Linked DNA regions of Macaca fascicularis. The protein of the gene in region 1 binds, or shares a complex with, the protein of each later gene. Links are inferred from orthologs where the notes say so. Each region holds a gene or a part of one and is shown in the gene's direction. Other genes may lie near its edges. The genes, in order: S1PR1 and CD69.

Region 1 (6,241 bases):
GGCCAGGACACCATTGCTGAAAACATTTGCCTACTATCTGATTTTACATAAGTGGATCATCTACAATTATATCTCATAGATGTGTACTAAAGATGAATATTATTAAATAGCAATCTGCAAAGTATTTAGACTGTGTAAAACACTTTATCAGCATTGAATGTTAAAAACCAGTGGTATTCACAAGAAAACAACTGATATCCCCAAGGAAATTCTTGGACCTGTTTGAGGTTTATCATGGTGGTCTGGAGTAGTGGTTAAGAGTCTGCAGTCTGTCCCACATTAACCAAGCTGCTTAATATGTCTGGGAGTCAGTTTCCTTGTTTGTAAAATTAGAATAATTATAGTGCCTAACTTGTAGGATTAAATGAATTGATATGTGTAACACTATGTGCAAATACTAAAAGTACAATGTTACATGAGATATCATAGGCAGACAATAAGAGGTGTTAGAAAACATTCATTAATATGCATGTGTATACACTTTGTATGCATATGTAGAAAACGAGTGATTTGAAAAGGACATTCATTAGCATACTTTTCTATGAATTTTGTAGACACGTACAGTCAGAAATGCATGCAAATGTGAAACTTTAAATCTAGAAGTCTGTTTCCCTCTAAGAACATATATCTCAATTCCTTAACTGTTTATTGACTGATAGCGTTTGAGCCACAAGGCAAGGCATTTGCAGTATTTAGGTTTTGGAACCCAGCTCTGCCACTCACTAGCTGGAAAATCTACAAGTCACCTTAGTTGTCTGAGTGACACTTCTCTCAACAATAAAATGGCCAGGAATGCTTGCTTACTTCACAGAACAGTAAGGTTAAATTAACCTAGCACATGCTTGATACAGACTAGGTGTGAAATTTCACTTTGATTCCTTTGGCTTTAAAGAATGCATAAATTAATGTGGGTGGGGGCAGGTGAAGGGGGAAATGCCAAGTCCCCCGTTTTGTTGTGCTGGGTAGATACAATGTATCTTTTCCCCTTTAAGTGAAATAAGTCCTCAAATCCAATTAGGATCTACTCTGGAGTCTTAGAGGACCGTTATCTTAGTTTCCACATTATATGCACTGTACTGTTACTGAAGTTGTGGGTATGTATTGGGTGCATCGCCGTTGATGAGTGCTTTAAAACAGCTGTGAATTAACTGTCACTTCTTTTTTTTTTTTGGCAAACTCACAAAATCCCAGAAGTCAGGGGTCTGTTGTTTATTCATTCTGCCTCCTTCTGAGTCATTCAGGTACAGGGTGTGTCTGCCAATTGAAACTGCACAGCGGAGGAAGTTTTTGAGTTCACATCTGCCGGGATGGGAAAGCAGTGCGACCAGGGACTGGGTGGAAACCTTTACAACAGTAGGGCAAGGGCAGAAGCCTCCTGAGCTTGTCACGCAGGCAGATCTGACCAAGGCCGCCTCTCAGCCTCACGTTCTTAAGTAGCATCTAAGCAAAAGAAAAGGGTGGGCAGGTTGCTAGTAATGAGATTTGAGGCCTCTGAGTCGACTCTCAAGCAGAAAGTGAGAGAAGGGTGCCGGCCCCTGCTGGGCAGCTGCAGTTGCTCCGCATCGCGGGGCCGAGAATCTTCCCCTTCGGAAATTCCGGAGCTGCCCAGGCGTTTTGAATCTCTCAGGACTCGGCAGCAGCCCACCTCCTCAACGACCTCTCCATTGGCCAGAATCTGGGACACACAGTCTGACTTTGCGCTCAGCTGAGGGAAACCCCTTGCCCAACACCAAAACCGGCGCTGGTTCATTTCTCTGTGCACTCCGGGAAATCCACTGCCCTCTCAGACCGCAGTTTCGAGGAGCACCAGGATCTGGGGTGGCGCGGGGAGAACAGGAACCTCCCGGTCCATTCTCCCTCCCGGGCTGCTTGTTTCCTCTGTACTTCTCGCAGCCCCTTCCCAGCGTCTCCTCCCCAGAGCGCCGCCGAGACTCGCCGGGCCGCGGCTCTGGTTTTCTGCTGCCCGCGTGAAAGTGGCTCGGGGAGCTCCTGGTCACAAGCTAAGCACACCGATCCTCCTAGGGCTGCGGGGGGTGTGGGACCAGGGCGGTGCGCTACGAGACTCCGGGCCGTCCTCTGCCCCTTCAGACTTTTCGAGAGAAAAGTTTCCCAAGTCTCTCCACCTCCTTTTTTTTCAGGGGCTCGGGAGAATCCTCTCCACCGCCAGGGATCAGCGTGCATCTGGGCGAGGGCAGTGATTTATACATTAGAATCCAGGGGTTACCGGGCTCCGCCCCTTCTCTCTCTCTCTCTCTCTCTCTCTTTTTTCTTTCATTTGTTGTTTGCGGAGGAGGAGTTCTTTTTTTTTTTTTTTTTTTTTTTTTTTTTGCTTCTGCCCCAGATCTTTCCTGGACAGTGCTTCTCAGCAGTTCAGATCCGGGGGCCCCTAGCTGGCAGAGGGCGTGGGGGGTTAAGGCATTAACCCCTCCCAGCGTCTTCCTGAAGAAACCACCCAGCCTTGGCGCGGCGCTGGGTGACTTCGCGTAGCAGGCAGGGAACTGGCCGCGGCGAGCGGGACTGGCCATTGGAGTGCTCCGCTGCGGAGGGAGGGGACCCCGACTCGAGTAAGTTTGCGAGAGCACTACGCAGTCAGTCGGGGGCAGCAGCAAGATGCGGAGCGAGCCGTACAGATCCCGGGCTCTCCGAACGCAACTTCGCCCTGCTTGAGCGAGGTAGGGGGCGGCGAGTGGCGGGGGACTGCGGGCGCGGGGAGCCCGGCTGTGGTAGGGCTTAGGTGTCAGAAACGAATTTTTAAGCCGAACGAGGCAAACAAAAACTTTGAAAACATGCATCTCTGGGCGCTGAAAATTTGCATCTGTGGGCTACTAAGGAGCCCAACTCGATCGGATTTTTCTTGGGTACTTGTGATTTACGGAGTTTGGAAAAAAAGGTTAATTCCCAACTGTGGAACCTATGGGGGTAGGGGCAGTGAAAGCTGCGGTTGGTCGGAGGAGTAGTAGGGAAGGTGCTAAATTTTGGAAATCCTATAGACAAAGAATATGGTGGGTGGTGTGGGGCGTAGGTAATGGCTTAAACTAGTACTGCCCAGGAGCAGGGTATAAAATTAGTTGGGGGAAATGTGGAGCTTCTTGGCTTGAGCAGCCTCTGCTGTTCGCGGAGTTGCTGGGATTGCTCTCATCTCTATTACCTCATTTTATTGCACTGCTGAATTACCTTGAAATATTTAAGCAACTTAGAAGTAGACTTCTGCTGACCAGTGCGGTCTTAGAAAGTTAGTTTGTTTGTAACTTTCTAGTCCTAGGAGAGGAGTCAACGTGTTGGGGGACGGCAGTAAATAAAACTGCCCACGCAAATTTAGCAATGCACCAGGGAGCAGTTTAATGTGAGTTTCTGAAGAGTAGTTTTGCGCTCGAAATTAAAAATGTGGTAGCATGTATTATTGCTGTCATGAGTAGTTTGATTTCTCTCTTTTGTGTATGTTTTGGCTAAACTAAACAAAGCAAAAAATATTTATGCGATCAACTAGTGTACGAAACTTCTGGGATTTGCTGCAATCTGTTATGAATGGTTTTAACTGAATACCTTTAAATTTACTTGCCCTGGCTTGGGGGCGGTTGGGCGGGGGAGGCGGGGAGAAGAAGAAGAAGAAGAAAGAAAAGGCAGTCGCTTCACGGAGGCGCTAAGCTTTCCTGTTTACTGCAAGGCGGGGCGGGCCTGGCTGCCCACACCTCACTGCGCCCTCCGACCCTAGGCACACCTGCTCCTAGAGAGTTATTAATAGAGCCCCCAAATGACTTACGCTTTCAAGTGATTTTCCTGCAAATCTGATTTCTTGCATGGCAATTAGGAGGTGGTGCTCGTCTCTTTGAACAGGGGAGCTAGGGGTGGGCATGGGGAACAGAGGTGTGTGTCTCTACCCTCAGACTGGCAGTCTAGTCTTTTCCGAGGAGAGACGTGGGCTGGTGTTGAGCGTGCAGCTGAGCTGGTGACTGCTTCAGACAATTTCATGGCTGGAAATACGGGGGTGGGAGGGTGGGGGGTGGCGAGAGGGCAGGAGTGGGGTTAAAATGGGGTGTGCTCTCTAGGTTTCCCATTCCCCCCACTCCTTGTTTTCCATCTTCTTTTTTGTTTGTTTGTTTTTGTTTTTGTTTTGGTCAACCCACAGCCAACATCATAATTCCCACTTCTCTTTGAGTGAATGTGGCCATAGAGTTTCTCCCTCTTTTTCTTCCCCCTCTTCCTTTTTTGGAAAAAAAAAAAAAAAAAGGGAAGAAAAAAAGATTTTTTTTTTTTTTTTAATCTCTCTGGGCGCTGAAAATTTGCATCTCTGGGCTACTAAGGAGCCCAACTCAATCAGATTGTTCTTGGGCACTTGTGATTTATGGAGTTTGGAAAAAAGGTGAATTCCCAATTGTGGAACCTACAGGAGTAGGAGCAGTGATTTTTTAAAAAAATTCTCTCTCCCTGAGCTCTTCCCAAGTTTCTTTAAAACAAATCAACAGTAACACAATTGGAGCAGTGCCTTAGCTAGAATGAATTATGCCAGTATGCTGTGGCTCTTTCCCTGACTCTCTCCTCTGACTTGTTTAAGGCTGCGGTTTCCGAGGCCCTCTCCAGCCAAGGAAAAGCTACACAAAAAGCCTGGATCACTCATCGAACCACCCCTGCAGCCAGTGAAGGCTCTCTCGCCCTGCCCTCTAGCGTTCGTCTGGAGTAACGCCACCCCGACTTCCTGGGGACACAGGGTTGGCACCATGGGGTCCACCAGCGTCCCGCTGGTCAAGGCCCTCCGCAGCTCGGTCTCTGACTACGTCAACTATGATATTATTGTCCGGCATTACAACTACACGGGAAAGCTGAATACCAGCGCGGACAGGGAGAACAGCATTAAACTGACCTCGGTGGTGTTCATTCTTATCTGCTGCTTTATCATCCTCGAGAACATCTTTGTCTTGCTGACTATTTGGAAAACCAAGAAATTCCACCGACCCATGTACTATTTTATTGGCAATCTGGCCCTCTCAGACCTGTTGGCAGGAGTGGCCTACACAGCTAACCTGCTCTTGTCTGGGGCCACCACCTACAAGCTCACTCCCGCCCAGTGGTTTCTGCGGGAAGGGAGTATGTTTGTGGCCCTGTCAGCCTCCGTGTTCAGTCTCCTCGCCATCGCCATTGAGCGCTATATCACGATGCTGAAAATGAAACTCCACAACGGGAGCAATAACTTCCGCCTCTTCCTGCTGATCAGCGCCTGCTGGGTCATCTCCCTCATCCTGGGTGGCCTGCCCATCATGGGCTGGAACTGCATCAGCGCGCTGCCCAGCTGCTCCACTGTGCTGCCGCTCTACCACAAGCACTATATCCTCTTCTGCACCACGGTCTTCACTCTGCTCCTGCTCTCCATCGTCATTCTGTACTGCAGGATCTACTCCTTGGTCAGGACTCGAAGCCGCCGCCTGACGTTCCGCAAGAACATGTCCAAGGCCAGCCGCAGCTCTGAGAAGTCGCTGGCGCTGCTCAAGACCGTAATTATCGTCCTGAGCGTCTTCATCGCCTGCTGGGCACCGCTCTTCATCCTGCTCCTGCTGGATGTGGGCTGCAAGGTGAAGACCTGCGACATCCTCTTCAGAGCGGAGTACTTCCTGGTGTTAGCTGTGCTCAACTCCGGCACCAACCCCATCATTTACACTCTGACCAACAAGGAGATGCGCCGGGCCTTCATCCGGATCATGTCCTGCTGCAAGTGCCCGAGCGGAGACTCTGCTGGCAAATTCAAACGACCCATCATCGCCGGCATGGAATTCAGCCGCAGCAAATCGGACAATTCCTCCCACCCCCAGAAGGACGATGGGGACAACCCAGAGACCATTATGTCTTCTGGAAACGTCAACTCTTCTTCCTAGAACTGGAAGCTGTCCACCCACCGGAAGAGCTCTTTACTTGGTCGCTCGCCACCCCAGTGTTTGGAAAACAATCTCTGGGCTTCGACTGCTGCCAGGGAGGAGCTGCTGCAAGCCAGAGGGAGGAAGGGGGAGAATATGAACAGCCTGGTGGTGTCGGGTGTTGGTGGGTAGAGTTAGTTCCTGTGAACAATGCACTGGGAAGGGTGGAGATCAGGTCCCGGCCTGGAATATATTTCCTCCCCCCCTGGAGCTTTGATTTTGCACTGAGCCAAAGGTCTAGCATTGTCAAGCTCCTAAAGGGTTCATTTGGCCCCTCCTCAAAGACTAATGTCCCCATGTGAAAGCGTCTCTTTGTCTGGAGCTTTGAGGAGATGCTT
Region 2 (6,191 bases), on another chromosome or scaffold:
TTTTCTCTTTCCTCAGTTATTTACTTAGACTATAGAACAGATATCCTCCTAGAGTTTTTTGTAACTATCAATTATCATTAACATCATATTCCTATTCTAAATCCTTCCACTGAAACACTACTTGTTGGGGAAAAAAAGGCTTTTACTTTGTTTCACCACTGTACAGAGGGTAAATGAAAAAACTTTCACTGAATATTTGGTCTATAATACTGTTACATTTCCTCTATTATTTTAACATCTTTTGAAAAATTTCTATAAAGAGATGGGGAAATTTCATGTCAGGAGATAGGAAATATTAAATTTAAATGCCTGAAAAGAATATCGCATATTCCTTCTATAGTCTGCCTGAACTCACCGTCAACTTTCTCCCTTCCAGATGACGCCACCAGCCCCCGTTTCTCAACACATCGTGAAGGATCCTTCCAAGTTCCTGTCCTGTGTGCTGTAATGAATGTGGTCTTCATCACCATTTTAATCATAGCTCTCATTGCCTTATCAGGTGGGTCTGCTCGTCATCAATTCTTTCAAAGCCTCCCAGCTGTAAGCATTCATGCCCAGCTGAAATCAAGATTAGTTTAGTCTAGTTAATCAGAAATTGTAGCTAATTTAGAATCATCCCATGTACCATATATGGCCAATTTCCTACTCAATACTAGACATAATTCCACAATCCTCAAATAATTAATGTAATACTTTTATAAGTATTAAAGTATCTATGATTTATATATTACTGTAGAATAAAATTGCATTTGAAAAGACGTTTACATCTAGAATGAAGGGAGCTGATTTGAATTCTGAATAAATAGCTATTTAGCTGGAAAAAAAATGTGAACTTCACATTCATTGATTATGGAAAAAATCGTATCTAAAGTCATAGATTCATCAGGAAATGGTCAGTCTTTTGTGTTTTATCTCAAAGGACACAGAATGGTAGTTCTGAATAATTAAGATTATATTTAAAAGTTCCCAGAGAGTCAGTAGTGATTCGGTATTCGATACCTCCAGCTATACCGAGATATATTTGTGTCTTTTACAAATGGGAATGTTTACCATTTTTTGAGATATTCTCAGCCATATGTCTTTCTGTATTTGAATTGGTTCCCTAAAAGTTACTCTCTTCATCTTTCCAACCTAGTGTTATAAATACTGCATCTTCAAATTCTTCCACCTCTGCATTCAGATTCAAAACCTTATTTGAAATATATAATGTACTTTACCCTTTCTAGTCCAAAGAAATATCTAGTCCAAATTTTCAGAATTTTTCTATATTTCTGTCATTTTCTGACATTATGGCCAAAGGTACATCCCCTCATCCTCATACCTCCATCCAATGACGATTAGGCTCAATGGAAAATCAGATATGGTCCTGAGAACTTTCTTTCTTCATACCCTTTTCAGAATTCTCCTTTTTAGCTTTTATCCTTTACTTTATCACCACCTAGCACGACATAGCATCCTAAGGCTAGTTTTGCATGCTATGGGTATTTCATTTCTTTTGTTACTAAAACAAAGCATTTTTCTGTTCACAGTGGGCCAATACAATTGTCCAGGCCAATACACATTCTCAATGCCATCAGATAGCCATGTTTCTTCATGCTCTGATGACTGGGTTAGCTACCAGAGGAAATGCTACTTTATTTCTACTGTGAAGAGGAGCTGGACTTCAGCCCAAAGTGCTTGTTCTGAACATGGTGCTACTCTCGCTGTCATTGATTCTGTTAAGGACATGGTAAGAATGAAAAAAATGATAAAATATTACTATTTTAATTAATATGGCTAATCAGTGGTTTCCTTCTGTTTCTGAGTGGAAGAAAAAAACAATATTGTACCTATTTCAGATGTAGGAAAATATCACCCCAGAGAACCATATGATCAGCCTGAGGTCAAAATGAGATTTACTCACTTTAGTCTTTTAAATGTGACTTGATTGCTTAGCTTCAAAGACCAGAAATCCAAATATGCTGATCCTATATAGAATGAGTCAATGGTCAGATGAGCTGTCATGCCTCAAGTTGCAGCTTTTGAGAAACAGGATTTACTATCTACTTCCCTAGAAGGGTGTTTAATGTAACAACTCCCTTGTGCTTTCTTTAAGAACTTTCTAAAACGATACGCAGGTGGAGATGAACACTGGGTTGGACTGAAAAAGGAGCCTGGTCACCCATGGAAGTGGTCAAATGGCAAAGAATTTAACAACTGGTAAGTCTCCAGAAGCCTCTGGCGAGCATCTCAGGAAAATCATTTTCCTTTTCTCCTTTCAAAGCACTTTAGATACGAAGGCTGAGCTCTTCAAGAGCTCTAACAATCTCTTCTGAATGCGTATACTCAAATTCTTTAATGACAGCCTTTATTATTATTCTTTTTTCTTTATCCACACTTATAATACATAAAATAAATGCTTATAGTAATTTTTCTCAGCAAACTCTAATGTGAGGAATAGATCTGGTTCATTTGGATATATTCTAATGATAATTATGATGATGCAACAAAACCCCACTTTCAATGTCACATTTAGTCTTTACTAATGAGATAGTTGTTGGAAAATAAATCCCTCTTACTATTTCTCAGTTTTCATCTCCACAGAATAAAGAATAGTTTCAATGCCTAATTATGAATTTCTATAGACCTGAAAGAAAATTTGCCCCAGAATTAGATACTCTATTTTCATTACTTTTAGTTAAAATACATTTAATGTTTGAAGATCATTTTATAAGTTTGTTGTTGATCATAATACTGATAAAGTATCAAGATTAAAATTCAGGTCTCTAGAAAAGAGATTCCTAATATTTGTCCTATGGTTCCATATCGACAGATGGGCTTCAGGAACCATAAACCCCCTAAAGCTGTATGCACTAGTATGCCTGGCTGTTGGATGCATATAATTTTGTGAAATTATTTATTGAAAAATCTATGAACTCAAAAATGACCAAGAATCACTTCTCTGGTGCCATGCCAGCCAAATGAATGGCGTGCTTTCCTCTTACCTCCATATTTTTTTTCCACATACTTTTGTTTTCAATTCTTGTCCATTGTCTCTACAAATTAGTCTATGATTATTTGACTTATGTATCCTGCTGAGAATTTAAAAGAAGCAGAGGTCACCATCTTGAGTTCATTCTCATGTAACTGAATGAAAACAATGAGCTGAAAATAATTGTAAGTTTCTTTATTGTTTGACAGGTTCAACTTGACAGGGTCTGAGAAGTGCGCTTTTCTGAAAAACACGGAAGTCAGCAGCATGGAATGTGAGAAGAATTTATACTGGATATGTAACAAACCTTACAAATCATAAGGAAACATATTCACTTATTGACTATTGTAGAATGGAACTCAAGGAAATCTGTGTCAATGGATGCTGCTCTGTGGTCTGAAGTTTTCCATGCAGACTTTGTGAAAAAAAAAAAATTTTTTGTAGTATCTTGGGAATTTTCTTCCAAACAGAACTATGGAAAAAAGGAAGAAATTCCCGGAAAAATCTTCATTGTGGGCTCTTGTTGCCATGAGCAGGAAGCATAACAGGTTGACTGATAACCATGCCCAAGAATGAGAAGAATGACTATGAAACCTTTGGATGCACTTTATATTATTTTGAATCCAGAAATAATGAAATAACTAGGCATGGACTTACTATTTATTGCTGAATGACTACCAACAGTGAGAGCGCTTCATGCCTTTGCACTATTGGAAGGAGTTAGATGTTGGTACTAGATACTGAATGTAAACAAAGGAATTATGGCTGGTAACATACATATTTAGTCATTGAATCCCTTAAACTCAGGGAGCATTTATAAATGGACAAATGCTTATGAAACTAAGATTTGTGATATTTCTCTCTTTTTAGAGAAATTTGCCAATTTACTTTGTTATTTTTCCCCAAAAAGAATGGGATGATCATGTATTTATTTTTTTACTTCCTCAGCCATAGACTGGTCCTTTTCGATGGTACATATTTCTTTACCTTTATAATCTTTTATACATTGTTTTACAGAGAAAAGACATAAGCAAAGAGTATGAGGAATATTTGTAAAACCTAGAAAAGTGTTGGAAAATGTGCAATATGTGATGTGGCAAATCTCTATCAGGAAATATTCTGTAATGTTCAAACCTAGAATAATACTAGTCTTATAATAGGTTTGTGACTTTCCTAATCAATTCTATTATGTGCAATACTTCAATACTTCTTTTAAAATATTTTTATGTGCAATAAAATGTATTTGTTTGTATTTTGTGTTCAGTACAATTATAAGCTGTTTTCATGTATGTGAAATAAAAGTAGAATAAACACAATGGTTTCCAAGAAAGTTCATTCCTTCAAAATACATTTAAAAGTATATACTGTATGAGAAAGAAGAAAACAGAGTACTATAACTTAGAAAAAAATCCCATCTAGGGTAAAACTCTTAGTTTTACAACAGCTTATACATATCAAATTGTTTTCATATATGCTAAAGGGTGTATGTATGCATATTCATTTTTCTGTGTATAGAAGATGCTCAGTAATAATTACTCCTCATAGTCAATGCTCTGAAAGTATCCTGTTCAATTCTGAAGTGCTATATACACTTTAGTTATTTACGTAAAATAATTCAATACATAGAAATGAGGCATAATCTTCATGGGATATTTCAATCAGCAAAAAACTTGATGATGTAGCTTGGATGTGTGTCCCTGCCCAAATCTCATGTTGTATGGTAATCCCCTTTGTTAGGGTGGGGCCTGGTGGGAGGCGATGACATCATGAGAGCGAATTTCTCATGAATGGTTTAGCATCATCCTCTTGGTGGTCTCCTTGCAACAGTGAGTGAGTTCTCAGGAGATCCGGTCTTTTAAAAGTGTGCAGCACTCTCTCTCTCTCTTTGTCTCCCTCTCTTTCCTGCTTTCTCCATGTGACATGCCTGCTCCCACTCCACTTCACCTTCTACCATAAGAGCACCCCTAAGCTTCCACAGAAGCTGAGCAGTGTCAGTGTTATGCTTGTAAAAACTGCAGAACCGTAAGCCAATTAAGCCTTTTTTCTTTATAAATTACCTTGTCTCAGATATATTCATAGCAATGCAAGAATAGCCTAATACATTCGATTACCTTCAAAACTGTTTTATAAATGTAATTTGCAATATTCTTCTCTGCCTGTTGGAAATGTGTGATGTGTATGGTATCTCTAAACTATTGACAGATGGCAAACGGAAATGTGGATTTCAGACACTGCTTAGTGAAAAATAACGACCTCTGCGCTCCTGAATTCCCACAGCTGTGGGAAAAAAATGAAACAAGCAGCTTCCTAGCTCTAATAGTCTATCGTTAAGAACAATCTACTCCCGAGTCATCTTAGAAAACAATGTCTTGTGATTAATATTTTAGTTATAACATATTTTTATGTGCATAAAATCTAATCAAATTATGAAAACTGAGCAAGCTTAAAAATATTATTTCTATATTAGTATGATAGTTTTTAACTCATTGAATACTGACTGTATCACCTAAAAATTCAATGAATTTTATCATTTTTAAAAATAATTTTATTGAATCCCTATAATTATGTGAAATGACCAGCTAACGTGCTTCCCTCTCCAGAGGAAGAAATTGAAATTATGTTGAAAAAGCAATGGATAAAACACGGATAACTGCGAGTTATTTTTTTACACATAATTTGAAGTCATTTTATTCTTAAGGACCACTGCTTTCTTTAAATAGATTTAAAAAATAGAATTCTTAAAGGGAATAATTTTATTATTTAAAGTATGACTCTGCTTGCTAGTGAGCAATTACAAATATAAAAACTGAGTTTGTCTCAAGAACCCCTCTTGCCCCAGGCTCTGTCCCCGTTACAAAAGTTGCAGTGCCGTCTAGTGGTTGTAGGAGATTACTGCACTTCTGTTTTAAGTATAGAACAAAATATGTAGCGCATGGCGCTGTTCAGAGCCAAGGCACTGGGGGCCAGACCGCCCTAGTTTCATCTCTGCCACGCGCGGACTGACTAGCTATTTTATCAGAACTCGTTCAAAATTCAGCTAAAATTAGCTAGATATTAAATTAGTTAGTACATGAAAACAAACTTAAAACATTATCTGGCTCCCTAGTACACCGTAGGCATGTATTAAACACTCATGATGATTATTATAACTAGAAACACAATGTCTTCACATTTCCAGTATTGGCATAAAGCAACGTTTCTACAAGACATGTCTATTTCT

What was found.
Region 2: the proteins of S1PR1 (region 1) and CD69 are in contact, whole or in part, in a cryo-EM structure (PDB 8G94), measured with the Homo sapiens proteins. The link is inferred for Macaca fascicularis from reciprocal best matches to the Homo sapiens genes S1PR1 and CD69. Residues at the interface, in NP_001307659.1 of Homo sapiens: Asn157, Leu160, Phe161, Ile164, Ser165, Trp168, Val169, Leu172, Ile173, Gly176, Ile179, Met180, Gly181; in NP_001772.1 of Homo sapiens: Val41, Ala44, Val45, Val48, Val49, Thr52, Ile53, Ile56, Ile59, Ala60, Val63.

Annotation. Positions count from the first base shown.
Region 1 is NC_088375.1:133,171,680-133,177,920, reverse strand, and holds the start of S1PR1 (sphingosine 1-phosphate receptor 1), read left to right. Parts: upstream 1-2,471; 5' UTR 2,472-2,564; exon of another isoform or gene 2,565-2,672; intron 2,673-4,552; 5' UTR 4,553-4,715; coding exon 4,716-5,864; 3' UTR 5,865-6,241.
Region 2 is NC_088385.1:11,127,704-11,133,894, forward strand, and holds the end of CD69 (early activation antigen CD69), read left to right. Parts: intron 1-376; coding exon 377-499; intron 500-1,529; coding exon 1,530-1,729; intron 1,730-2,095; coding exon 2,096-2,199; intron 2,200-3,180; coding exon 3,181-3,292; 3' UTR 3,293-4,287; downstream 4,288-6,191. UniProt on the Homo sapiens protein: Transmembrane protein expressed mainly on T-cells resident in mucosa that plays an essential role in immune cell homeostasis.